Nothobranchius furzeri: one gene and its partners. The protein of the gene in region 1 interacts with the protein of each later gene in a pairwise test. Links are inferred from orthologs where the notes say so. Each region holds a gene or a part of one and is shown in the gene's direction. Other genes may lie near its edges. The genes, in order: rpia, pcmt and stk16.

The links.
Region 2: the proteins of rpia (region 1) and pcmt interact in binary tests that used the Homo sapiens proteins (3 or more experiments, as listed by UniProt). The two-hybrid records come from large-scale screens. The link is inferred for Nothobranchius furzeri from reciprocal best matches to the Homo sapiens genes RPIA and PCMT1.
Region 3: the proteins of rpia (region 1) and stk16 interact in binary tests that used the Homo sapiens proteins (3 or more experiments, as listed by UniProt). The two-hybrid records come from large-scale screens. The link is inferred for Nothobranchius furzeri from reciprocal best matches to the Homo sapiens genes RPIA and STK16.

What each region holds. Positions count from the first base shown.
Region 1 is NC_091758.1:5,544,244-5,552,810, reverse strand, and holds the end of rpia (ribose-5-phosphate isomerase), read left to right. Parts: intron 1-7; coding exon 8-68; intron 69-242; coding exon 243-298; intron 299-532; coding exon 533-592; intron 593-664; coding exon 665-729; intron 730-825; coding exon 826-894; intron 895-1,938; coding exon 1,939-2,080; intron 2,081-3,165; coding exon 3,166-3,265; intron 3,266-5,290; coding exon 5,291-5,388; 3' UTR 5,389-5,604; downstream 5,605-8,567. Other genes in the region: eif2ak3 (eukaryotic translation initiation factor 2-alpha kinase 3), read left to right, coding at 7,620-7,885. UniProt on the Homo sapiens protein: Catalyzes the reversible conversion of ribose-5-phosphate to ribulose 5-phosphate and participates in the first step of the non-oxidative branch of the pentose phosphate pathway.
Region 2 is NC_091742.1:11,413,131-11,422,067, forward strand, and holds the start of pcmt (protein-L-isoaspartate(D-aspartate) O-methyltransferase), read left to right. Parts: upstream 1-4,131; 5' UTR 4,132-4,288; coding exon 4,289-4,469; intron 4,470-7,672; coding exon 7,673-7,777; intron 7,778-7,856; coding exon 7,857-7,888; intron 7,889-7,972; coding exon 7,973-8,077; intron 8,078-8,241; coding exon 8,242-8,362; intron 8,363-8,887; coding exon 8,888-8,937. Other genes in the region: nucleoporin Nup43, read right to left, coding at 1,486-1,715, 2,008-2,124, 2,225-2,376, 2,461-2,596, 2,680-2,842, 2,942-3,019, 3,474-3,596, 3,812-3,925. UniProt on the Homo sapiens protein: Initiates the repair of damaged proteins by catalyzing methyl esterification of L-isoaspartyl and D-aspartyl residues produced by spontaneous isomerization and racemization of L-aspartyl and L-asparaginyl residues in aging peptides and proteins.
Region 3 is NC_091749.1:40,859,742-40,866,635, reverse strand, and holds the end of stk16 (serine/threonine-protein kinase 16), read left to right. Parts: exon of another isoform or gene 1-561; intron 562-1,253; 5' UTR 1,254-1,294; coding exon 1,295-1,380; intron 1,381-1,506; coding exon 1,507-1,726; intron 1,727-1,804; coding exon 1,805-1,938; intron 1,939-2,040; coding exon 2,041-2,128; intron 2,129-2,785; coding exon 2,786-2,914; intron 2,915-3,023; coding exon 3,024-3,145; intron 3,146-3,344; coding exon 3,345-3,483; 3' UTR 3,484-6,044; downstream 6,045-6,894. UniProt on the Homo sapiens protein: Membrane-associated protein kinase that phosphorylates on serine and threonine residues. In vitro substrates include DRG1, ENO1 and EIF4EBP1. Also autophosphorylates. May be involved in secretory vesicle trafficking or intracellular signaling.

The sequences.
Region 1 (8,567 bases):
CCTGTAGAACAACCAGGTGATCGGAGTGGGAAGTGGCTCAACCATTGTGTATGCCGTGGATCGGTTAGGTAGGTAAAACCAGCGGAAACCTGGGTCTAACACATACACACACCTCAATCTGATGTAGAAAATGGTTTCAGATATGCTGTTGCACATAATGTATTTGACGTGTGTGTGTGTGTGTGTGTGTGTGTGTGTGTGTGTGTGTGTGTGTGTGTGTGTGTGTGTGTGATGCGTTGCAGCGGAGCGAGTACGTCAGGAAAAGCTCAACGTTGTGTGTGTGCCCACTTCCTTCCAGGTTAGTTCAAGCATCAGTCAGCCTCAGACCCTTGTCAGGGGAACTGTTACCAGAAGCTTTGTGAGGAAGTTGCTGCATGCAACTCTTGCTAAAGGTCTGTTGCTGTGATCCAGTGTTACTCAGTAGAACACAAATATCTAATGAATGTGCAGTAAACTTATGGTGAAGCTTGTCCACAATAAACTGTACTGAAGCCCTTTCCCATCTCTGCCCTTCCCTTTGTTCCTCCGGCAGGCTCGGCAGCTGATCCTGCAGCACGGGCTCACTCTTTCAGACTTGGACAGGCACTCCGAGGTATGATGTGTTTACAGCAAAGAGCTGCTGCAGAAGTTCATTTTTAATGCTGTGCTTTTTGCCCTGGCTCAGCTGGACATTGCTATTGATGGAGCAGACGAAGTGGACTCTGAGCTCACACTGATAAAAGGTGGTGGGTGAGTATGCAGTAAAAACACACACACACACACACACACACACCCCTCAGGCCCTGCTGAATGATGTTTCTCACTAAATGTTCCTCTGTTTGACAGCGGCTGTTTGACTCAGGAGAAGATCGTTGCTGGCTGTGCGAAACGATTTGTTGTTGTTGCTGACTACAGGTCTGTATTGACTGGTTTACCTTTAGAGTTTAAAGAGCAAGTCACCCCCAAGACTCGGCATCTGTGGCCTCGATCCACTCATGAGCCATTGGTCTGGAACGATGAGGCTCAGGGCTCCTCTCTTCCTCCAAAATTCTTCCTCCCTTTCCGTTCTTTCCTCTGGCGAAGGAGATGCAGATAAAACCTCCCATCACAATTGACTGCTCAGTGTTTCCCTTAGAAATTTTTGCAGTGCATGCCGGTTAGATTCGTGTCCGACTTGACGCCGACTTGCTCTGACGTCATGCATACGTAGGCAGCGATAACCTCGTGAGATCAAGGCGGCTGCAGATTTTGGAGCAAGGCGCTGCAGTTGCTCTCCACCGGCTGCACAACCTAGGGCATGGCGGGAAACGCCTGGCTCTCACCTGATCTAAGATCTGATTGGTTCCCATTTTGATCCAAACACCCTGTGGTAGAATGTGAAATGTTAGTTGGTCACATGTATTCTGTAAATCGTGTTACGTAGATGCTGACAACTATGTACGCCATACAGAGAAATGTGATTTTCCTTTACCACATTTCCTATAAACACTCTAAAAACCTGCAGCTGACAACCTTTACTTATTAATACAGTCATGTCTTCCTATGCACATGTCTACAGTATATGACATCCACAAGCACGTGAGGCTGTGGTTCAGTTGCTAACAGGCACCAGAATTTGACACTAGTATGAACTCTAGCGTGATATCTTCAGCCATCGTCGCCTGCATAAGGAAATGTGTCTGACTTAAACGCCGGCTTTCAGCCACTCCCCCTGCTGCGTCCGTCTGCTCTCGTCCGTTTTCCAGGTGAGGCGCTGCTCATCTCGGACAAAGCCAGTGCCTCCTTTTGGCTCAATGTTTCAAACAGGAAGTATGGGTGGAGTAAGACACTAGCAGGGTGGTGACTTAATCTTTAAGTTTTTGGATGGAGGGTTTGTTACCATCAAACTAAACAAGTCTGATTTGTGTTTTGGAACACTTTGTTGTCCTGTTTAACATTTGTGTTGATTTCATCTGTCAGGAAGGACTCTAAGGCTCTAGGCCAGCAGTGGAAGAAGGGAGTTCCCATTGAAGTTATTCCCATGGCCTATGTTCCCGTCTCCAGGATGATAGTTAGGCGCTTCGGAGGGGAGACTGTCCTAAGAATGGCTGTCAGTAAAGCAGTAAGGGACCGATTCACACACCTTCATTTTTTTGTCTTTCACGTTTTTTTCTTGACTGGAGAAGCAGAAGAATCTCCGGCCGCACAGTTTGATCAAGGTGTTGATCCTGGAATATCCAGGGGAGACCTACTCCAGCAGTTCTTCAGCACAGGTCCCACAGATTGTGTGTCGGCCACTAGTGATTTTCTTTCTCTGCTGTGTTTAAACAGACTAACATCTACAGGACCTGTCCTTCCACATTGTTGTATTTGTTGGGGTTAAATAATCTGCGGTAATCCTTCAGTGTCCTTTTTTAATTTGGTTAGGCAGTCAACTCATTACCCCTATTTCACACTGGAAGCATTAGCAGCTTGGAATGGCAGCGGATTGTCACGGCCTCAAATATAATTCATTATAGTCTAAAGTGGTGATGCCGACCAGCCGCGACGCGGGCATTTTCAGGTTTGTTCCAGAAGCGACATGCCACGCCGCTAAAGATGGGATCAGGTTCTTTACCACAAGTGGCTTCTGGGGCACATCAGTTTCTGCAGTTAGCATGGGGCAAGACAGGAAATCACACACGGTTTCAGTGTAAACCCCCCACCCCGGTATTTTCAAAATAAAAGACTATTACAGCAAAGTAATTTCATATCTATGTGGAGTACATCAATAATTGTGACGTAACGGCTTATTTACTCCCTGAATTGCTCCAGAAGTGCAGCAGTGTGTTTTTCATGGCTTTCGTTCTGCAGTGGAGAGGAACAACGTCATAAATGCTATCAAATGTCATTTCCTTCTTTTTGGCCAAATGGCGCATGGCATTAACAAAATGTGAACCATGAAGTATTGAAGGAATTTGTGATGTTGTGAGTCCAGTGAGGAGCACAGCGAGGAAGCCGTTCCGTGGCCAAGGCTCTCCCAGCGCGTGCTGGACCGCATTGAAGCTTGTGAGTAAAACGTTCCACGGCCATTCCGCGCTGCTGGAGTTTCCAGTGTGAAGTAGTGGTTAGGAACCCTCTGTAAAAGGAGCTGCCATGTTTGAAAAGACTATGCAGACCAAAGTGGTTGATGTTATTAAAGTCAGGTGGTGTGTTTGTGGATTTCAGGGTCCTGTCGTCACAGACAACAGCAACTTCATCCTGGACTGGAAGTTTGAGCATGGTCAGAACTGGAAGGAAGTCAACACTGCAATCAAAATGATTCCTGGTGAGGAACTTTTATACTGTTTACATCCCGCAGTGGTGTCCAGCCCTGGTCTTATCAAACTTGTTTTAGTTGTTTCTCTGCTCCAACACACCTGATTTTAACTCATTCACTGCCAATGACGACTAAAGCCGTCCTTTACATTTTTTGCTGTGTGGGCATCGGAACGAGCCCCCGCACCGTGAGAACAAACATCTCAGCTCTAAAGCCGATCTTCATCCTCATATGTCACACGTCACGTGACCAGGAAACAGAAACTCCACGTGTTAGGAGTAGGGTTGTCACGGTAACCGGTGTAGCGGTAAACCCCGGTAAAAAAGTTGACAATAATAATAACCGTCTTGTTTTTAAAAAACTACATTATCTCGGTGGATTACCGTGGCTGCGGTGTAGGCGCGGTGACCCTTACCAGCCACCGTATCATCTGCTGAAGTTGCCGGCGGCACATGCGCACTTTGTTGTTTACGACCAAAAGTTTCTTGAAGCTAAAGCTGAAATAATGGCCAAAGGAGGAGACGGCAGCGCTCAGGACATTTATTATCCCTCAGAGAAGACAAAGTGGGAAGTACGGGCATCTTTTGGATAATTGAAGAATGCCGAGAGACAGCTGATAGAAGACGGCTATCCTGTTTGCAGCACGTGCAGAAAAAGTGTCTGTGAAAGGCAGCAACGCTTCAAATCTCATGACACATCTGCGTGACCATCACCCACAACTCTACAGTCAACGCAAGGCAAGCTAACGTTAGCGCTTTAGCTAAAATGCGTGATCCGAGGATTTGGGTTGAGGGAGAATGCAACGAGTTGCTATATAAAGCAGCCGCAGCGCCGCTACCTGCATGTAAACCGTGTCGCGGACACCGCCATGTTGAAATGACGCTATGCATTACGGGGCTCCAGGGGCAGATAAGAGTTGGTCTCTCTCCGAGAATAATTATGAATTTAACAATGATTACTGCCTGATGACATTTTCCCACATCTGCAAAGCTCACTGGAAGGACACAAACCGAGGACAATATTTTCCTGATATAGGGTTTATTACTCAAGTAAGGGTAAAAAAGTATCTGATTAGAAGGCTACTTGAGTACTGAGTATCATCTGATCTAATACTTTTAAATGATGACATCAAACAGACACAAAATAAGAAGTTATGGGCAAATATTGGTATTTTAAAGACTACAGGGAAAAAAATGTAAACAAATAAACAACATAATTACAAAATAACACATTTTAGGCTAAATTTAGGCTAAATATATATTTTTTAAAAACAAGACGGTTATTATTGTCAACTTTTTTTTTTACCGGGGTTTACCGCTACACTGGTTACCGTGACAACCTTACCTGATCGGTCTGCTTTGATCTATTTTGAAAATTCCGATCAAAACCGATAGGGGCGCTATCGGCCGATTACGATCAAATGCCGATCCATCGGTGCATCCCTAAAACTGAGGACAATATTTCCTGACATACAGGGTTTATTTAATTGTGTGAAAATGTAACACGTTTTAAAAAAATACCGCGATAATACCGAAAACCGTGGTAATTTTGGTCACAATAACTGTGAGGTTACATTTTCACACCGTGACAACCCTAGTTAGATCGTTTTTGGGCCGCTGCTGTAAAGAAAAGTGAGGCGCAAACTGGAAAAGCTTCTGCCGATCACAATTGGTCAATTACAAAAACGGATTATGAAAGAACAGATATCGTTTGAAACGTGCAGATTCTCCCTGATGTAAGAGGCGAGTCTCCTCTTTGTTTTGGTAGTTTTTACGTCAACATTATCCTAGCGCGCAATGTTCTGTGCATCTTAAAATACAGTAAAAATGGTGAGAAACGCTGGCAGCGAAGGGCTTTACCGATCAGGAAATGGCTGGCAGTGAATGAGTTAATCAGTGGAATCAAGTGAATGTGAGCCGAAAAACCACTAAAACATGCTGGCTGGTGGGATGGGATAACTCTTGTTTCTGAGTTTTTGTGTAATGTGATAAAATAAAAATCCATGTTTACGTCAGGAGTTTGTGCGTTCTTTAGGTGTCGTAGAAACCGGGCTCTTCGTGAACATGGCTGAACGAGCATACTTTGGGATGGAAGATGGAAGTGTGCAGATTCGGGATGCTCCAGTCAACTGACCAGTTTGCCACACTCATGGGTAGTAGAGCTGCAACTAATGGGTTACCTGTTTAATAGATGACTCATCAGTAATTTTACATCCTGATGAGTCATCAGTTATTTAGGGGATTCCTGCTGTCTGTGGATCTACCTGTTTGCTCCACCTGCGCATGGCACCCTGAGTCTGCAGCATAAGATATTTCTACAAATTAATTCATGAGCAGTGAAACTGATGGATGTCCAGCCAACTGAACACCAGTTAGAGGTTTGCTCTGAAGGTTTTCACTGTAATTGCAAACATTTTGCTGAACCTAAATCTTACGGATCATACACTGACCAAAGCTACAGCCCTAGCTGTCGCTCCTTTTAATTGACCAAATCTGTTCCACGAGAGCCGTCGTCAGGAATTATTGCCTCAGAAAACACCAAAGCAAGAAGAAACATCGGAGCTGTTGACTTTTCCCGTCCATGCTTTTGATTTGATGAGTTTTAAGTGCCTGATGAGGAAAGTCGAGTCCTACTGCTGTAACAGAGAGCTTTGACTGGAGGGACGTATGATCGAAGTTCTTGTCTGGTGAAACAGTAGAATGAAATAAAAGCACGCCTTTTAAAAGCTCCCATTGATATTCTGTTTGTGTAATGAAGGACCAGTTTTCAGTTATTCGATCATTACAGTCCCGGTCACCTAAACCAGCATAAACTGGTGCAGCCTTGGAGAGTATCCTGGTTTGGTGTGACAGCGATAAACCAGAGGAAGCTTTCGGATAAGGAAACAACTGGAGGAAATGATGCCAAAACAAAAAGTGCAACACGAAACTTCAGGTCTTCCTTGAATCGTCTGCGAGTTTGAGGTGTTTTGCATGTATTTGTGTGTTTTCTCATGTGTTTTTTTTACCTCCACCTTTTAGCAGAAGTTGGGACCATGCCATTAGGTATAAGCTTATACCTGCCTTTATGTTACTATGGTGTTAGGTCACTGGGTGTCTAGAGCCACTTTACACTAAAGTTTCTGTTGTATAAACCAATGTCAGCTGCTGTTCCGAGCCTTAGATGTTTTTGTTCTACCATCTTTAACGTGTTCCTGTGGAATTGAACTAGTCAGTCATTAGGATCGAATTCTGAAGCCTCGGTGTTTGTTGGAGGAAAACAGACCTCAAATGTACTTGTACACCTTTCCCCTTTGTATGACTTCAGTGTTCAATGCCTGTAAAAGACTGCCCAGTGTTGTGCCATACTCATGCTTATAAAAGGATTGATGATTAAAGTGTCTGGCAGCAGTGTGTCCATGCAATCGAAAGGCCACATTTCCTGTGTCTGCGTTCGTCTCTCAAAAATGAGGTCTATTCGTGAAAACGTGGTTCAGGTCCATGCTCACCACGAGACAGCAGCGCCGTTACCTGGTAGGACTATAAACTCCTCATCAGTAACACGGGCACGTAAATGTAGGCTAGGAGCGTGGCTTCATAAACACGTTTCTTTGCTTGATTTGTGTCACAGTCGCTGCATTTTAGTGAAAGTGTAAAACTGAACTCGTAACCGGAAACAGGAACTGCACCGATTACTTCCACCGGGCCACGTTGTTGTTTTTCATGTCGACGGCTCTTGACAACTGCGTCTAAGCGACAGCTGAATTAACCAATCAGGTGCTCACATGAGGTCACTCGAAACTGATTTAGGCCAATAACATTACGTGATTTCATTATCTTTTCTGTCATTGGACGAACGACTAAACATCCGACCAATCTCAACAACCAAACAGATTTTGCCCCCGGGGACTTTTTACGTCACTTATCCAGTGCGCACGCGCACCTGTGACGAACAGGAGTTTAGCCAATGAAACGGAGTGTTTGGAGGCCGGTGTTTCCGGGTCCGCCTCTTTGAGTGACGGATATCTAACGCAATCATGTTGTGCTTAGTAAGCGAGGACGTGTAACTGACAGCGAAGTACGCAATGAGAAACGCGCGCATTAAAACGCAAGGCCCGTGCGGGTTTACGGTCCAATCCCGGTGTGGAAACGAGGCGGGATTTAGCGTTACTACGGAAAGTCTGGGTCTAGTATAAAGAGAACAACATGGTGTCCCAGAGGCTGTTTATGTTTACTTAAAGAGCTCGTTCAGCGGGGCGTCCAGCACGCGACACTTTTATAACCGTAACCTCGGCTCTTTTATACTTTCACCTTGTTTTTATACTAACTTTTACCAGGGCCGTGGCGTGTGCGTCTCCTCTTTCACTAATGTGCCAGTTCTACAAATGGAAAGGGGGCTTCACTTTGGAGTGAGCACTTCCCTGCTGCTCCTGCTCCTGCTGCTCAAAGCGCCCACCGGTTCCGGGACCTCACCCGGCTGGGTGTCGGGCTCGGCAAAACATGGTCCGAGAGTCATGGAGCGGGGCTTGGAGAGCCTAGGCACCCCCCCGGTCCCCGGTGCAGACGTCACCGTGGAGGACGACGAGAACGGGTCGACAGGTGAGGCCGACGACCCGTACGAAGACGGTAACGGAAGCGTCCGCTCCACAAGGTAAACACGGTGCTAGCTGCTGACATCCATTATCGGACACGCTCGTTTCCAACTTCAGGTGACTTGGAAATTACTAAAAGTTGACGGCTTTTACTTTGATGTGTTTCACCGACTTTCAAACCTGCGACGTGAAGGCTGACGTGACACCTGTGTTGTCATGGAAATGCCCAATAACGTGAACGCCATGAGCAGAAAACAGGAAGGTGCTGTCTGTGTCCGATAATCGAGTCACGTTAAGTTTCCCGGAGCTGCGGTTGTGGCTGCTGTGAAAAGATGGATTTTAGAGGTCATTTATGAACGTGAGACACCTCAGCGCGAGCAGGAAGTTCTGGTTCAACAGAACAGAACAAAAGCAGGACGTCCCAGGTGAGCTGGGACAGAGGTTTGTTTGTTTCTGGTGTGCAGTAAACACCAAAGCTGTCTGGTGTCAACAGCAGAGGTGCTGCCAGCTGGAGCAGGAATCACGTGATCTAATGGCTCCAGCAGATCTAAACATCTCAGGCTGTCAGAGGGAACGTCCAGGTGAACGGTCCACTCAGGTTGCAGCAGCTGCTCAGAGAGAGAAGCGTTTTCCTCGGCAACAGCCGGTTCAACGCCCACCCTCGGTGCCTGTTCCTGATGCTGTGTGTGTTTATTCTGAGTGTATTTGTTTTACACACACTCCTGCAGCTCCCTTTGGCTG
Region 2 (8,937 bases), on another chromosome or scaffold:
ATAGAGCTCTGAAAATGTTTGGGTGAACTTGTGATAAGTTGAAAACAGTGAGGGAAACATGTGGAAAGTGATCATTTAGAAAAGTTTTACAATACAATTCGTTTTTAATCAAATTAAAACCTTCCAGAAAATAAAGTCTAGGAACACACACGTTTTCTATATTTTGTTCTCAATAATTAATGATCTGGAAATACTCAAAACATATAAGATACTTTTTCATGCCTCTCAATCCTTTTGTAAATAAATAACCTGTTTCTGTCACGCTTGGAAGTCATGTGTTGATAAAAAAATAGTTATGATTGTTTATCGTTTACTTTTGAGTGAAATTCGGCGTACGTAAATTTTAAGGTAAAAAATGTCTCGATTGGAACTGACTTCATTAAAAGACCCCATTCCGTGTGTATAGCCTCCTTAGCACTCTATGCTAACATAACGCTAATTTTACGTAAATTCTCCGGCGTTGGGTACGGATTTTTGTCACAATTAAACGTTTATAAGGATAGTCAAAAGAGTGGGCGAATACTGAGTTTAAGAGTTTTAAAAAGGATTAAAATCAAACAACACAGCAGTTTTCAAGCGGCCTGTGTGTAATAGGAATCCATTTGATGCTATTCAACAACAGGTTGCGCATTAGCCTGCTAGCTCCGATAACAACAACTCACCAAAGTCCGCCGCTGTCGCTTTTCCTATTATTAACGGACAGTAGTGGTTTGCTGACCCTCCTCGGCGTCGAGGACGCGATTTGAAGTTAAAATGCCCTTGTTGTTCCGCGCCGACTGGTTCCTAGTCTTGTTGAATTCCTGGGATATCTGAATGACAAGTACAACAGCTAAGCTAACGACGCACCATCAGACGCTGGACTTTCACAATAAAAGTCAGTGGAGAAATTACTTTTTTGCTAAGTTTAGAACAAAATAACACTAATAAAACTAATGAAGAAAATTTTAATGCTTTTTTTTATAAGTTTTTTTTTGCTAACCTGTTAATGAAGTCCAAACACATTTCACAGCACAAATCTTAGAAATAAAAAAATAAGAGCATTAATATGTATAAAAATAAATCAATTTCCCTTTGGGTGAGCACATAACATCTATTTGTAAATTTACAGAGCAACATAAGAGCTCACAAGGCTGACTTTGACATTTTTATGTTGGTAGGTTTGATTTACAATTTTACTTGATTTGTCAGTATAAAAAAACGTAACATCCTGAGACAATTTGAGAAAGTTACATTTTATTTCTTTATTGTTTTTTAAGTAATCTGTACAAAACATTATTAATCTGAACAATTGTGTACAGAATGACATACAAAAACACTAATCCATATTCTGTCACTGCAAAGAATGAAGCATTGCATCAGACACAGAGGTCTTTCATTGCGTAGGTATATTGGCTTTTTGTGTAACAAAAAAAAAGTCTTCCAATGTGTCACAAAACATCAAATTAAAATTTGCATTCATGTATTTATTAGTCACCTCCAGATCTTTTAAACTGGGACCTGTTTGTTGATAAAAATAGCCTCTCCATCAGTTCCACAAACTAAGCACTGTCCAAGCACATCCAAGCTGTTGACAGACAGCGTCTGGCTGGGCAGCATGTGGGTCGTCTCCAGGCGGCTTTTACTGGAGTCTCCGTTGAGCCAGGCACTGATGAGGGACTGGTTTCCTCCAGCAAGGGCCATCGCACTGCGAGAGGTCACGCTGCTGTTTCTGCTACCTGGAAACACAACAATAACACTTTTTACAGTGAAATTACGACAAATAGTACAACATGACAATGTTTAATAGACTGACCTGGTGTTGGACATTATCAGGAAATTCTTTGTTTATTTAACCCTAAATAATGTAAACTTTCAGTAAAACATTCAACTGGATATTTTCTTGATTATGGCTTTTGTGTTTCCATAGAATCTTTATAATTAAGAAAATAGAAGAAGTACATAGGCAGCCTTTTAAACTGAATACCAATAATAATAATAATAATGATTATTATGATGAATAGGACTTGCCTTGTAGAAAGGAGGGCATGTCTGAGTGGGAGGACGTCTCCCAGTGCAGCAGCGATCCATCCTCTGAACACGTGAACAGGTGATCTGGGTTGGTAGGGTGGAAGTGGACCTCCCACACTGCCAGGAAAGTTAGACAAAAAGCATTAAAAAAGTGAAAAATATTTAAATATGTGTGTAAATTATATGTCCATTAAATAATTAAAAATGTACATCTTACTTTCAGCTGAGTGGGCCTCCATGAGGGATGAGGGCATGCTGCCTTGCCTCACATCCCACATACAGAGCATTCCATCCTGGCCTCCTGTGGCTACAATGTGCTGCTGGTTTGGATGTCTGTCAATGCAGTACAAAGGAACTCTGTCTCCTGACCTGATTGGAGGAAAATTAAAATCCACATACATCAGCAAAATAGTAGAATTAAAAATGGGGAAAACGTGCTAAAGCGGATCTTACAAGGACAGAATCTGTGATGCCGAGTTGCTCTGTTGTCTTAGATCCCATAGCTTTATTTGTCCGATGGAGTTCACAGTCAAAATCTCCGTCGTCCTCAGGTAAGTCACAGCATGAATCGTGCTGCTGTCAGCATTCTCTACCAAATGTACCCGCAAAAGCATGTTGACTTGACACCGAGTTAAAGTGTACAGAGTTCTGAATGGGGTGGTTTAATCTCACCTATGACTTGAGCCATACAATCCTGGTCGGCTCTGAGGACAATAATCCTGCCGTCCTCCCCAACTGTGATGATCTCAGGGCTGCTGCACACAACTGCAGTGCAGGGAGCATTGTCACAGGGGTAATGGTGCGCTTTCACCCACTGCTGGGAAACTGAGATTGTCTGATGTAAGAAGAAAAAATGATTTTATAAATAAACAGCAAAGGCAGCAACACAACCTTCATACAGGAGTTGACATCTTTTATGAAAGCTCTACTGCACCTGACTGTTGTGATGGTGGCGGAAGATGGTGACTGCTCCCGTTGATGAGGCCGTGACGATTCTCTCTTGATCCAGGAACTATAATCAAGTAGTATAATCAAGTCTAATTTGGAGGAATTGGACAGCTGAAGCTCGACTAAAACTGAGTCATGCAAAACAATGTCCCACGCACGTGTCAAAATTTCAACAGAATGGCTGCAAAACAAATGAGTCTGTGTTGCAAATCCTCCTGCTGACTATAACAAGGCTGTGCACTGAGAAATCCTGCAGACCTACAAAGAAACAAAACTATTGATGCATAGAACAACAGATTTGCCTTCTGTATTAGCAAAATTCTGAAATGCGCAGAAAATGTACTTTATTTGTTTTTATGTGCATCTCTGCAGGGTTCATTGTTGTTTTAATTTCTTTAAAGTGCGTACAGCACTTTGGTCTGTCTTCTGGTCGATGTAAAGTGCTTTATAAATAAAGTTGATGGTGATGAATAATTGCATTATTAGTATGTTATGACATTATTGTTACAGCGTCTTACCTGGAGGCCAAGAACATCTCCATCGTGCTTGTTTTCACAAATAAGCTGCGGATCTCCTTCAAATCCATCTTCCAGGCCCGAATTTTCGTAATTACCCACGGACCAAATAGATATCTTGTTTTCCTACAGAAATAATTTTTTTTTTAAATAAAGGCCACATCCTTGCAAAAAAAATGACCAAAACGAACCTGACAGACACACAAAAAAGCAAACTATGTGTAACAAGTGTTAAATCCTTTTTGACAGTTACAACGTGTAAGTGTGCATAATCAGGAGAAACACAGAACATTTGAAAAACTGGGTAAATTTGGTTCACCAAAAATATTCAACTAGCCAACCTCGTTGTCCCACGATCCCGTCGCAAAGATTTCTGGTTGTTGTAAAAACGAAGACGACACAGGACGCCATCTGGCCTTGCTGACTTTTTGGGACACGTACTTAGCACTCTCCATGAGAACAACCAACGTTTCTGCTGCCTAAATACGAAAAATATTCTTATTGATGTTAGCTTAGCTCTATGTACGCACCCACTAGCTTTAAACGTAAGTACGGTGGCTCAACAGGATCAAACAATCTGATCTGCGTTTCTCGCAAGAAATGTGAATTTGTACATTCCGCCACCTAGCGGTCGTCTCCGTTGTTACTGCGGCAAAAACCTGATAAAGCACTGCATGGCTGAGGAACGTGGCTTTTATTCCCTTTCGTCTGACGCTGACTTTGATGCATCATGAACAGATTAATTATATTCTAAAATGACATATTTTTCTGCTTGGTCGTGCATCTGAGAGGCGGCTCTGCTCTGTAAAATCATTTGGATGTCTAGTGACGTATCCGCCGCTACGCCGTCTGCTCTGGAGGTTGTCAGCTTCTTTGGTAAAACTATTGGCGCAGGCGCGGCACTTACAGCTGCTGTCTACTTACTCCGTAAAGTCTGCTTAATAATGGCCTGGAAATCTGGAGGAGCCAGCCACGCAGAGCTTGTCAACAACCTTCGCAGTGAGTCCGGTTGCAGGTTTAAAGCGGCAGCAGCGATGAACTTCACCGCCGCGTCGCCAGAAAACGTTGTAGTTTGGAGGCTGGGGTTAGCTTAGGAGCGGTAGCTACTAGCAAGCTATGTTTATGGTGACCCAGCGTCTCCTCCCGCCTCTCCACCCCTTTTCCTAAACCACGTTTTTCGCTGTGGGACCATGTGTGGGACAAGGCAACGCTTTTGTCACAGCAGGGGGGAAAAACCCAGCAGAAATGACATTTCCGTTTTGTTGTAAATCGCAGAAAAGTGGTGTCCTGTGGGAAGTTAGCTTAGCATGTTAGCAGTATGTGCGTCATTTGAGATTTTATGCTACTGCCCACTGTCATTGATGTCTGTGTCTTCTACTGGACTTCAATGTGAATGACAGTAACAGCTGTACATGTCCGGATAGTTTCTGCTGAGCTTTAATACTCGGATACATTTAAATAATGACAAGTTGCTGTATCACTGCAGCTGTTAGCTACATAGCTCTGTGCCAAAGCCCACGACTCATTTCCATTTAAGAAGCCTGATTGTTGAACATTTTCAAATTTCTGTGCATATATTTTAGCTGATGTCTTTCCATGGACATTTAATATCCTTTCACAATATTTTAATAAGAAATCGATCAACCTTAGTCGATCTGCAGAAATCAAAACAGTTTCTTTATTGTTTGCACACATTACAACCTGCAAAATGTGTTTTAAATTATCAAACAAAAAAGTCAGAGTAATTTTGAGAATTTTGTAGGAGGGTGTGCCTAGCGTCAGCTTGGCTTTCTGGGCTTATAGACACGACCTATTTTTCCAGTTTATATCTAGTTACCAGTTCAGATCTTGTTTTTTTATATTCTAAATTAATAAAAGTTTATTCATGTAACCAGCCTGTCAAAAAGACAAACTATGAAGTAAAGAAAACTGTAATGCTGGCATAGAAGTAGGGATGTAAAAGTCAACCGAAACCAGGAACCGATACCAATGCAGTTGCCTGAAAGTGGCTTCACCATAACTTGTCATTTCTGTTCACCTAATATTTCAGTTTTGTGATCATTTCTATGAATATATTTTATTTTTTATCTACCTCACAATCTTTTCCTGTTGAAAGCAGAGAAGAAAATAAAACCTGTATTCCAATTCATTGCATTATTTGTGTGGTAGAAGTATCGGCGAGTACTCAGATCCAAGTATCAGTATCGTATCGGTTTGGACAAAAGTGGTATCGGTGGATCCCAAGTATGCTAAAAGACATACAGTGTCATTTCCTGGTTCTCCAGGACAACAATCCAGCACATTTTAGACATTTCTGTTTCAACACACCTGATTAACAGGTTTCTCTGGACCTTGATGACATGTCTAAAAGGTAATATAACCACTGAAAATCATTACAATAGCAAAAGCATCCTGGTTATTGTTCCAGGAAGACCAGGATTGGACACAACTAGTGCAAGAGGAACCCCTGACAATTGTCTTTATGGTGTTTTTGTGATCAAATAAAAGAAAAAAATGTCCTAACACCTTCTGTTGCCTTTGCAAAATACTGTACATCAGTAAAAGATGGATGACTTAGCTGTTACGTGGTCCAGAGTCCACTATAATCAACATCATGGCTTCCTCTGCAGTCAGTCAATGATGACTACTGTAAAAATATCTTTAGACTCTTTTTCTAGTGCATTTAGCAAATGAAGATGGGATATCTGCAAGCGCGATACTGCAAATTAATTCTCACTCTTAAGTATCTACCAGGTCTATTTGTATTGTGTGCAGTCTGGGATGTTATTGCAAGCTGCAAGTTTGCCAAAAGCTGCGTTGTTATTCACTGTGTTATATTTTCATTTATAGGGAAATTAACGTAAGTTATACAGAGTTTACATTTTTAGCAGCTCACAAGTTTGCAAAGCTGTGCAAAAATAACATTTATTAAATTGAAAGCCTTTAAAAGAAAGTCGTTACTTTGATAATTTTTAAATCAAATTGGTTAATCTTACAAAAGCAGAAGCATAAAAATAAACAAATAAAAGGTTTGATTCGTAGTAATCAGTTTTTCTTTTCTCTTTTTTGCCTCTTGTGGTCTGACCTGTATAGACATTTAACCCAGAGTTTGCATAAGATGCTTTTAAAGAGGTCACATGCAGAACGCATGCTAATTCACCGCTAACTTACTTTCCTGGTAAATAAAGGCAGTTTGGACTGTCTCCAAAGCCTCACCTGTTTCACTGGGCTGCCTCCAAATTTTAACATAAATAAAATCATGGTGGACAGCCAGCAAATAAATTCGTGTTATTTTTTTATTTGTAAATATGAAAGAAAACGACAGGAAGGAAGCAGCTCAAATGGTTTATTGATCATTTAAATGTCAGAAATCAGTGGTGGGTGTCTATTTGGCAGTTTTATTTGGAGTGTGTCCTAAAGCTGCGCGTTGCTCCGTGGGTGAGGGGAGCGAGGAATGAGAACCGCCTGCTGTTGGCTTTTTCTGTTTTTGGCACAAGGTGCTGCAGTGATTGAGGATGGATTCAAATTTGAATTAATCAACAGTTTTTGCATCCTTTCGGCTTCTTTTCAGCTCCAAACACGGATTATTAACTTTGTGTGGTCGGTGCAGCCTGTTTTTTAGCTGCTGTTTATAGTTTATCTGACATGTCCACAAGAATTGGTCTTGGTTTCTAGTTGGGGGTGCTGTAATATGCAAATGTATGACTTTTCATAGTTTTTCCCCCTCAATTTTCAAGAATAAAGCAATGATATCTTATTGTATTTTAGTGAAAATGTGTTCAATTTTTGCATTTTTTCAGTATCTAAATTATTACTTTTATAAATGTTTTATTCTGTTTTAGATTCACCTGACTGTCGTTAGCCACCAGGGGTTTTTGCTGTAGGTGTTGTGGTTAGAGCTTTCTCCCACATTATGTATTCATTTATATAATGCAACACAAATCGGGTGTTTTTTTTTAATGGGGGAAAACGTGTGCACAACAACACATCCAGTTTGGCGCTATGCAGTCGTTCTTATTGAGTTGGTGATAATTCGCAGTGTTGAACGTGTTGCAGCGCCCTCTAAGCAGCAGCAGCAGTAATTGTGGTGGTTTGTTTCTTTTCTGCATCAACCCTTCTGCCCTTCGGCTGCAGGATTATGTAACGTCTCTCTGCTCGCGTTTCCAGAACACGCCGTGACACAAACTCTTTTGCATCCTCAGAAAATGGCATTATTAAGTCCGACAAGGTGTTTGAAGTCATGCTGGCCACAGACCGAGCGCACTACTCGAGGTGTAACGCATACATGGACTCGCCACAGTCTATAGGTAGGTGTGTTCACGGATCATCGACGCGTGGCAGTTGGACATCAGAGGATAAACTAATCCTTCCTTCTTTTATCAACAGGCTATCAAGCAACCATCAGCGCACCGCACATGGTAGGCTGTTTCTGCACTCTCAATCTTCTGTTTTAGTTAAATTACCGAGACTTCATTTGTGCTTGCCCCCCACCCCTCACCCAGCACGCCTATGCACTGGAGCTCCTACATGATCAGCTGTGCGAGGGCGCCAAAGCTCTGGACGTCGGCTCCGGCAGCGGGATCCTGTCTGTTTGCTTTGCACGAATGGTGAGCCCACACACATGACGGGTAAACACATACGAGTTCTCCTTGGCAGCGCTGTGATGTGTTCGCTGAACCAATCGCTGTAGAGGATTTAAGAATCACGACGGTTCGAATTGACGTTTTGAGCTTAACACTGTCGTCTTCTGGGCTTTTCTTTCCTTTTCTAGGTAGGTCCTAAAGGAAAAGTTGTAGGAATCGATCACATCAAAGAGCTGGTAGACGATTCTATAAACAATGTGAAGAAAGATGACCCCAGCTTGATAACGTCAGGCCGAGTCAAGCTAATAGGTAAGATGGATTCAGGATTAGAGTTTAATTTGGACTTTTTGAACCTGCTGAAGAGCGTGCGTTGCTCCTTACCGGTGGAAAATCTCCCGTTTGCCCGATAGGCCGTCTGCAGCGCTAAATAATTGAGCAGAGCAGCGAGTTCCTACTTTCACCTTCTCAGCAGGAGGCTTGAAGCGCTCTTACAGCCAGGTCATTCACCAACGCAGGCAGACACTCGTGTTCCTCTGTAGGGCTGCGACGAATCAGAAGTGACTTCTATATGACATCACAACACATTTACATTCCCTCGTGTGCACCGCAAAGTAGGTAACGGGGGAACCTTGTTTTGCAGCAATAATCTGCACAGAAGATTCTAGATAGTAGCTAATAAAAGAAATGGGTTATTTAGATTTCTCTGCTTAAATTGGTGAAAAGTCGCCAGCTCTAGGAACAGCAGCGGCAGCAGATTTTTGGACGAGTGACGAATCTGTCCGTGTTGTGTCGAGGCTGGCAGCCTGGAACTGATACCCTGCGGTGTGTTTTCAGTGGGAGACGGGCGAATGGGACACCCAGAGGAGGCGCCGTATGACGCCATC
Region 3 (6,894 bases), on another chromosome or scaffold:
CAGAAATGGATCTATTACGTATGTTATAATGTACACGGTATGAAGTATGTTATGAATATTCTATGACTATAAGTATGTACAGGCTGTAGTTAATACAATCAGTCCATGAGTTTAACATGGGTCATATGTCAGGAGGCAGAGTTTAAGAGTCTGACAGCTTTTGGGAAGAAACTGTTCCGGTACCTGGTGGTCTTAGTCCGGAGGCTCCTGTAGCGCCTCCCAGAGGGCAGCAGGGTGATCAGTGCATGTGATGGGTGACTGTGGTCTCTGATGATTTTCCTAGCCCTTTTCAGACACCGCTTCCTGTAGATGTCCTTTATGGCAGGAAGTGGTGCTCCGGCGATGTGCTGGGCAGTTTTCCCAACCCTCTGCAGTGTCTTCCGGTCTGAGGCGGAGCAGTTCCCATACCAGACTGTTATACAGTTGGTCAGGATGCTCTCGATGGTGCCGCGATAGAAGTTCACCAGGATGTCTGAGGACAGGTTGTTCTTCCTCAGAGTCCTCAGGAAGAAGAGGCGCTGGTGAGCCTTCTTGACCAGCTTGGAGCAGTTGGTAGTCCAGGTGAGATCCTCGGAGATGTGGACTCCCAGGAACTTGAAGCTGCTCACACGCTCCACTGCCGTCCCCTTAACGTGGATGGGTGGATGTGGGTCAGCATTCCTCCTGTAGTCCACGATGAGCTCCTTAATCTTCTCAGTGTTGAGCAGCAGGTTGTTTGTGTCGCACCACTCAGTCAGACGGTCCACCTCCTCCCTGTAGGCGGTCTCATCGTTGTCACTTATGAGGCCAAACACCGAGGTGTCATCTGCAAACTTAATGATGGTGTTGGAACCATCAGCAGGTCTGCAGTCGTGGGTGAAAAGGGAGTAGAGGAAAGGGCTCATCACACAGCCTTGTGGTACACCAGTGTTCATTGTGATTGTTGATGAGCAGCGGTTATCCAGTCGGACATGTTGAGGGCGGTTGGTCAGGAAGTCCAAGTTTGGGTGGGAGGTTGGGTCAGCTCATACATAAGTGGCTCTATCGGCAGCTTATAAACCTAGAAGGGCTCCTAGTCAAGTAGAATTGGTGTTATTTTAAATCAGAAATAAAAAATCAATGACAGTTTTTTTTAAGTTTTAAAAACATTGTCCGTAGAAATTACAGATACTTTCTTAAAAAGACCGTAGGATCAGAAACCACCTTAAAATATTACAATAATTCAGTTTGGCACAGCATTGAACGCCAATCTGATAGTTTTATTTTATTTTCAGGCCCTTTTGAAAATGTTGGGTTAAACAATGCACCAGTCAACATGGGACAGACCCTGTGTGTGTGCTCTCGTGGCTCCATCACCATTGACAGCAAAAAATACTACTTTGTCCAGAAACTAGATGAAGGGTAAGTTGACAAGATCTCTCTACTGATTTACAATTTCATACTTGTATATGGTAATGTTATTGATTTTTGTTCACCCCTTTTTTAAAATGGAGCACAACATGTGATCTTTCTGTTCTTTCTCTTCAGCGGCTTCAGCTTTGTTGATTTGGTTGAGGGGGCAAAGGATGGGCACTTCTATGCCCTGAAAAAGATCTTATGTCATGATCGCCAAGCTCGTCAGGAGGCACAGACAGAGGTGGAAATGCATCAGATGTTCAATCATCCCAACATCTTGAGCCTGGTTGCACACAGCTTTGTTGAAGGTGGAGGGAAAACTGAAGCCTGGTTACTTCTGCCTTACATCAGAGTGAGTTGCTACAGCAGTTTGCCTGATGACGAAGATGTCTCAAGGAACATTCTGACTCCTTTGTATGTTTGTTAACAGAAAGGAACCCTGTGGTCTGTTTTGGAGAAGCTAAGAGAGAAGGGGAGCTTAATGCCTGAAAAACAGATTTTAAAAATCTTCCGTGGAATCTGTTCCGGTTTGAAGGCCATTCATGATAAAGGCTATGCCCACAGGTAAAGTTTACATTTTAAAATATTCTGAAGAGCACCTGTGATCATTGACTTCTTCACCCACTGTGTAACTTTGTAATTAAGACAAAAATAAATTGCTGACAGAGACCTGAAGCCCACTAATGTGCTGCTGGACGATGACGACCGGCCACTCCTGATGGATCTGGGCTCAATGAACCGCGCAAGAATTGAGGTAAGAGGAACAGGTCATTAGTTTCTACAGACTATTTAAATCATCACCTGTTTTCTCACTGTTGTCAGCAGTTGAGAACAAATTTTAACAAAATAACAATTCAAATAACCAATTACAAATTTTATTATTCCAGAAAGTTTAGAATTTTACTAAACGTTGTTAAATTGTGTTTTAACTTAATTTTTTGGGCATGCTAAAATTGAATAAAGTGGGGATTTTAAATGAAGAAAACAGTGATGCCAGACAGTAGGGTCCTTGTGCAGATGTAAGAAAATACCTGAGTATTCTTTCAACTGACAGTTCTTGTTTCTCACCTCTAGATGGCAGCGTAACAGCATCGTATATTAAACTAGTTGTGTTTTAAGTTCGTTTCTGTCGCTTTTCCTAGTTCACTTGTTCTTTGTCTATTTCATGTGTCAAAGTAAATATCATGTAAACATGAGATCCAGTGATGTTTTGGTTTTTTGTTAAATTTTTTGTAGTTTAATTTTTTGTGGTATTTTATTTTTTCTTAGTGATGACAACCCAGCTGAGTGTCAGATATCCAGAAATTAGACTTTATTTGTCTCTCAAAAAAAATATTCCTCTCAAAATCAGGAAAATAGATTTAAATGTTGCTCATGCTGTGAGTGATTTGATGCAAGTAAATTTTTTCAGGTCCGAGGATCCAGAGAAGCCATGACCGTCCAGGACTGGGCAGCCCAGCGGTGCACCATCTCCTACAGGGCTCCTGAGCTCTTCAACGTAGAGAGCCACTGCATTATAGATGAGCGCACTGATATCTGGGTAAGAACTTCATGTCTTCTTCCTCCCTGTTTTTGTTTATATAAATTTACACCACTGACATCTTGGGTGAGCTGGAATGTTCCTGACTGATCCGCTCCTGTGCCTTCAGTCGCTTGGCTGTGTACTGTACTGCATGATGATGTTAGAGGGACCATATGACCTGATCTTTCAGAAAGGGGACAGTGTTGCTCTGGCTGTCCAGAACCCGGTGACCATCCCAGCGTCCTGCAGGTCAGAATTCAAACTTCCCTGATTTCTCTGGTTCAATTCAATCCAATTCAAAAATGCTTTATCAATCCCAGAGGGAAATTGATTCTGCTGTTCTGCTGCTGCTTCTTTTGGTGATTGTTAAAATAAAAGTGTGAAAAGTAAATGAAATCTCAAGTAAACATAGAATGACGGTTTCTGACCTGGTGTTTGTTTTTTCCAGGTACTCAGAGGGCCTCCGCGTGCTGCTGAGCTCCATAATGGTCTCAAATGCACAGGAGAGACCAAACATTGTCTGGGTTCTTGACCAGGTTCAGGACCTGCTGAGTCACAGCCCAAACACTCAGACCAACATGGTCTGACTTCTGCTCACCGCACCACATCCTGAGCTCTGGACTCTTTTATCCACTTCAGTCAGCGTTTCCTAATTTCGCTTTAAAATCTTATTATATTTAAATTGTTGTAAAAGAGTGGATATTTTATCTTTTCAGCTTGAAAAATCGCCTTTTTTTGTCTTTTGTTCCCATTGAACCGATTTAAATGAAACGCCTTAAGTGAAATTCAGCCTTAAAAGTAGAAAGTTTTAATTTGTTATCAATGTTTTGAGCAAATAAAACAAAAATAAACACGGGTGTTCTGTTAGGCTAAGACGGAGGCGTTCGTGTTGAGCTAAAATCACTCGTTTTGTTCTCTTTTGTTTAACTGGAAGAGAACATACTCACTGGCTTTTCAAACAGCAAGCAATGCATTTTATTATTAAATATGATTAAAATATTATTGATCAAGTCACTTGCCATGTTATGTCTTTCTGGCTTTGCCTGTACAAAAAAACAAACCAGAAAGATGGAACCTGTTCAAGGACGAGCTTTAGAATATTCTACTTTGTTTTTACAGGGATGAAGGGAAGATTTTAACGCTTTAGCTAATGTTCTCATTAATAAATGCTACATTTTAGTACATATTACCTTGCGCTCCCTAAAAAAGGAGTACAGTTTAGTTTCTTTTATTCTTGTTAGGGTTGGGCATTGAGCATCAATTGGAACCGGTTCAAACTGTTAGTTTTTCCCGGAATCGTTCAAAGTTTTTTTGTTCGATTCCTAGAATGCCGACGGAAGAGGAATCCGCGGCCGATCTCCCTGAAAAATAAACGTGATCTGCAAATTGTGATCAACGCTTTTCAGAGCTGATCACACCAGCTGTCTGTGTGCAGCACCGCGTCCCCCCTCCCCCCACCCGGCGCACAGCGGCCAAATATAAACAAACGCGTCTGCCGAAGTTTTACTCCGTGATGTAAACTTTAACTCCTGCAGCGTAGAGGAAACTTGTTAAAATACGTCAACACGGTGGATTTAATAGAAGCTTTAAAGAACAAATTCTGGACGATGTGAGGTGAGTTTGTCTCACTGCAGAAATACAAACACACACGGAGCGTCAGCAGTCAGACACAGCTACTCACCAACGTGTGTGTGTGTGTGTGTGTGTGTGTGTGTGTGTGTGTGTGTGTGTGTGTGTGTGTGTGTGTGTGTGTGTGTGAGCATCAGAAGGCTGAACAATAACATGTAGAATAATTAAAGTCATCATGCTAAAGAAGCTTCTCTGTGGTGGACCACACCAGCTTCTGCCACAATAAATATTAATAATAATAATAATAATAATAATAAATCACACACAAAGTTGTGAACATTTCAATTGACTTTTTTGAACAATTTCTGTTGAGTTTTAATGTTTAAAATCTGTTAGATTGTTACTGACAGCAGCTACATTCAAGTTTCACTTCCTGTTCTGACTGAATGCTGCTGCAGCATGGAGGTGTAGTTCTCAGTCATCCTGGACATGATCATCCTGAGAGTTTTAGCTGAAAACAGCTGGACGTTTCTGGATATGTTGGAGAGGCTTCTTCCAGACTTTGGTTGTGGTCAGAAACAAACACACTGGTTGTGCTGAAAGTCTTTTTCTTTTTTTTCTCCAAAACACGTTTTTGTCTAAATGAAGGTGATGTTATTGTTCATAGAGTTAAAATTCATGTTGAAGTTAAGATTATTTCATCAAGTAGGACCTGTGGTTAGCTGGCTCATGTAAAGCATGTCACGTCTTGAAAGAATCGGAATCGGGAATCGATAGGAACCGGAATCGAAACGAGGAATTGGAATCATTCAAAATCAAACGATACCCAACCCTAAATTACTTGTACTCCTTTTTTCACCTCGATTCCTCGTTTTTGTGTATCTTCCAGCTTCTCCCAGTGTTTCTGCTCAGACTGCAGTCACAGTAAGATTTTGTTGAACACAAAAGTATTTTCCTCCACAACAAAAAAGAAAGACTAATGTAATTATTGCACAGCTAAAGAATGTTAGATGGTATTTTATGAAAGGGTAACATTTTTACTTCTGGTTTTATTGTGTTTTTGAGCAGTTTAGTGTAATAACCCATTCCAACTATTCAAGTTTAATGGCTTTATGTTGTGTGAGGATTTCACACTTTTGTTTTCTCAGGGCACAGTTGCATCTCAAACAGTCTCTTAGCAGACGTTAGTGGTACTTTTACGACTAATGTTTTGGGCATTTAAGTTTAAAGCTTCTGTGATGCGGTGCAGTTGGACCATGTGGTGGCTGAACTCGGCCTGGATCGTTGAAAAGCAGACTAAAGAGTTTAAATATTTTTAGATGCAACGTTTGGAGAGGACCAGTGGATATAAAGTCTTGTGCTTTTGTAAATGCTAAAGTAAAACTGGTTTACTGCGGCTGGTGAGAAGAACTATTGTAAAGTTACTGATATTGATATGAGTTTGCTGATGAAGACTGACTATTATGTTTAAACCTTTATCTGTTTGATGCACAGTAATTGGTGTATAAAGAAAAATGTAGCAGTCTTGTACTGTATACTTTTTAATAATTGTGAAATAAAATCGCTTCAAATATTTAAAGATTCTCATTCAAAGTTTGTCTTTATAAATTAATGACATCTTTATTCAAAACCAGCTACAACTCATTATCAGCTGTCGTTTTAGCTGTGTTATCCATACATCCATCCATTTTCAGCCGCTTATCCGGGTTCGGGTCATGGAGGCAGCAGCCTAAGTAGGGAGGCCCACACTTCCCTCTCCCCCAGCCACTTGGGCCAGCTCCTCTGGGGAAATCCCGAGGTGTTCCCTGGCCAGCAGAGAGACATAGTCCTACCAGTGTTTTCTGGGTCTGCCTTTAGGTCTCCACCTGGTTGGATTTGCCGGGGAAACCTCACCAGGGAGGTGTCCAGGATGCATTCTAATTAGATGCCCTAGCCACCTCAACTGGCTCTTACCTGGGCTGCCACCTTACCATGGTGGAGGATTTTAATGTCCCATTGATCCCAGGAGCTAAGGTGTCTGAAGCTTTATGCCTCAGGTAGGGTCACCCATGGCAAACAGGTCTTAGGAGAGGGATCAGACAAACTAAGCCCACAGACCCCTTATGACGAGTACCATATATAGAAACAGTTTTCCCTTGTCCGGAAATGTGTCACCCCTCTGGAGTTGTGGCGCGTTGGCGAGCGCCTGGTGGGGCTCTCATGGGAGGGGCCAAAGAAGTTGGGTGCAGTGTGAGATAGGCTGCAGCCGAAGGAGGGGTCTTGGCGGTCTGATGCTCAGCTACAAAGCTAGCTCTCAGCATGTGGAGAAGAGTTTCATATTTGGTTTTACTAACGGACACTAGGGGGTGCTAAAAGCAAGCCAAAACTGCATATGTTTCCTTTAATTAAAGCAATAATGAATCTAGGGATCTGGTATTTCTCTGAGATGT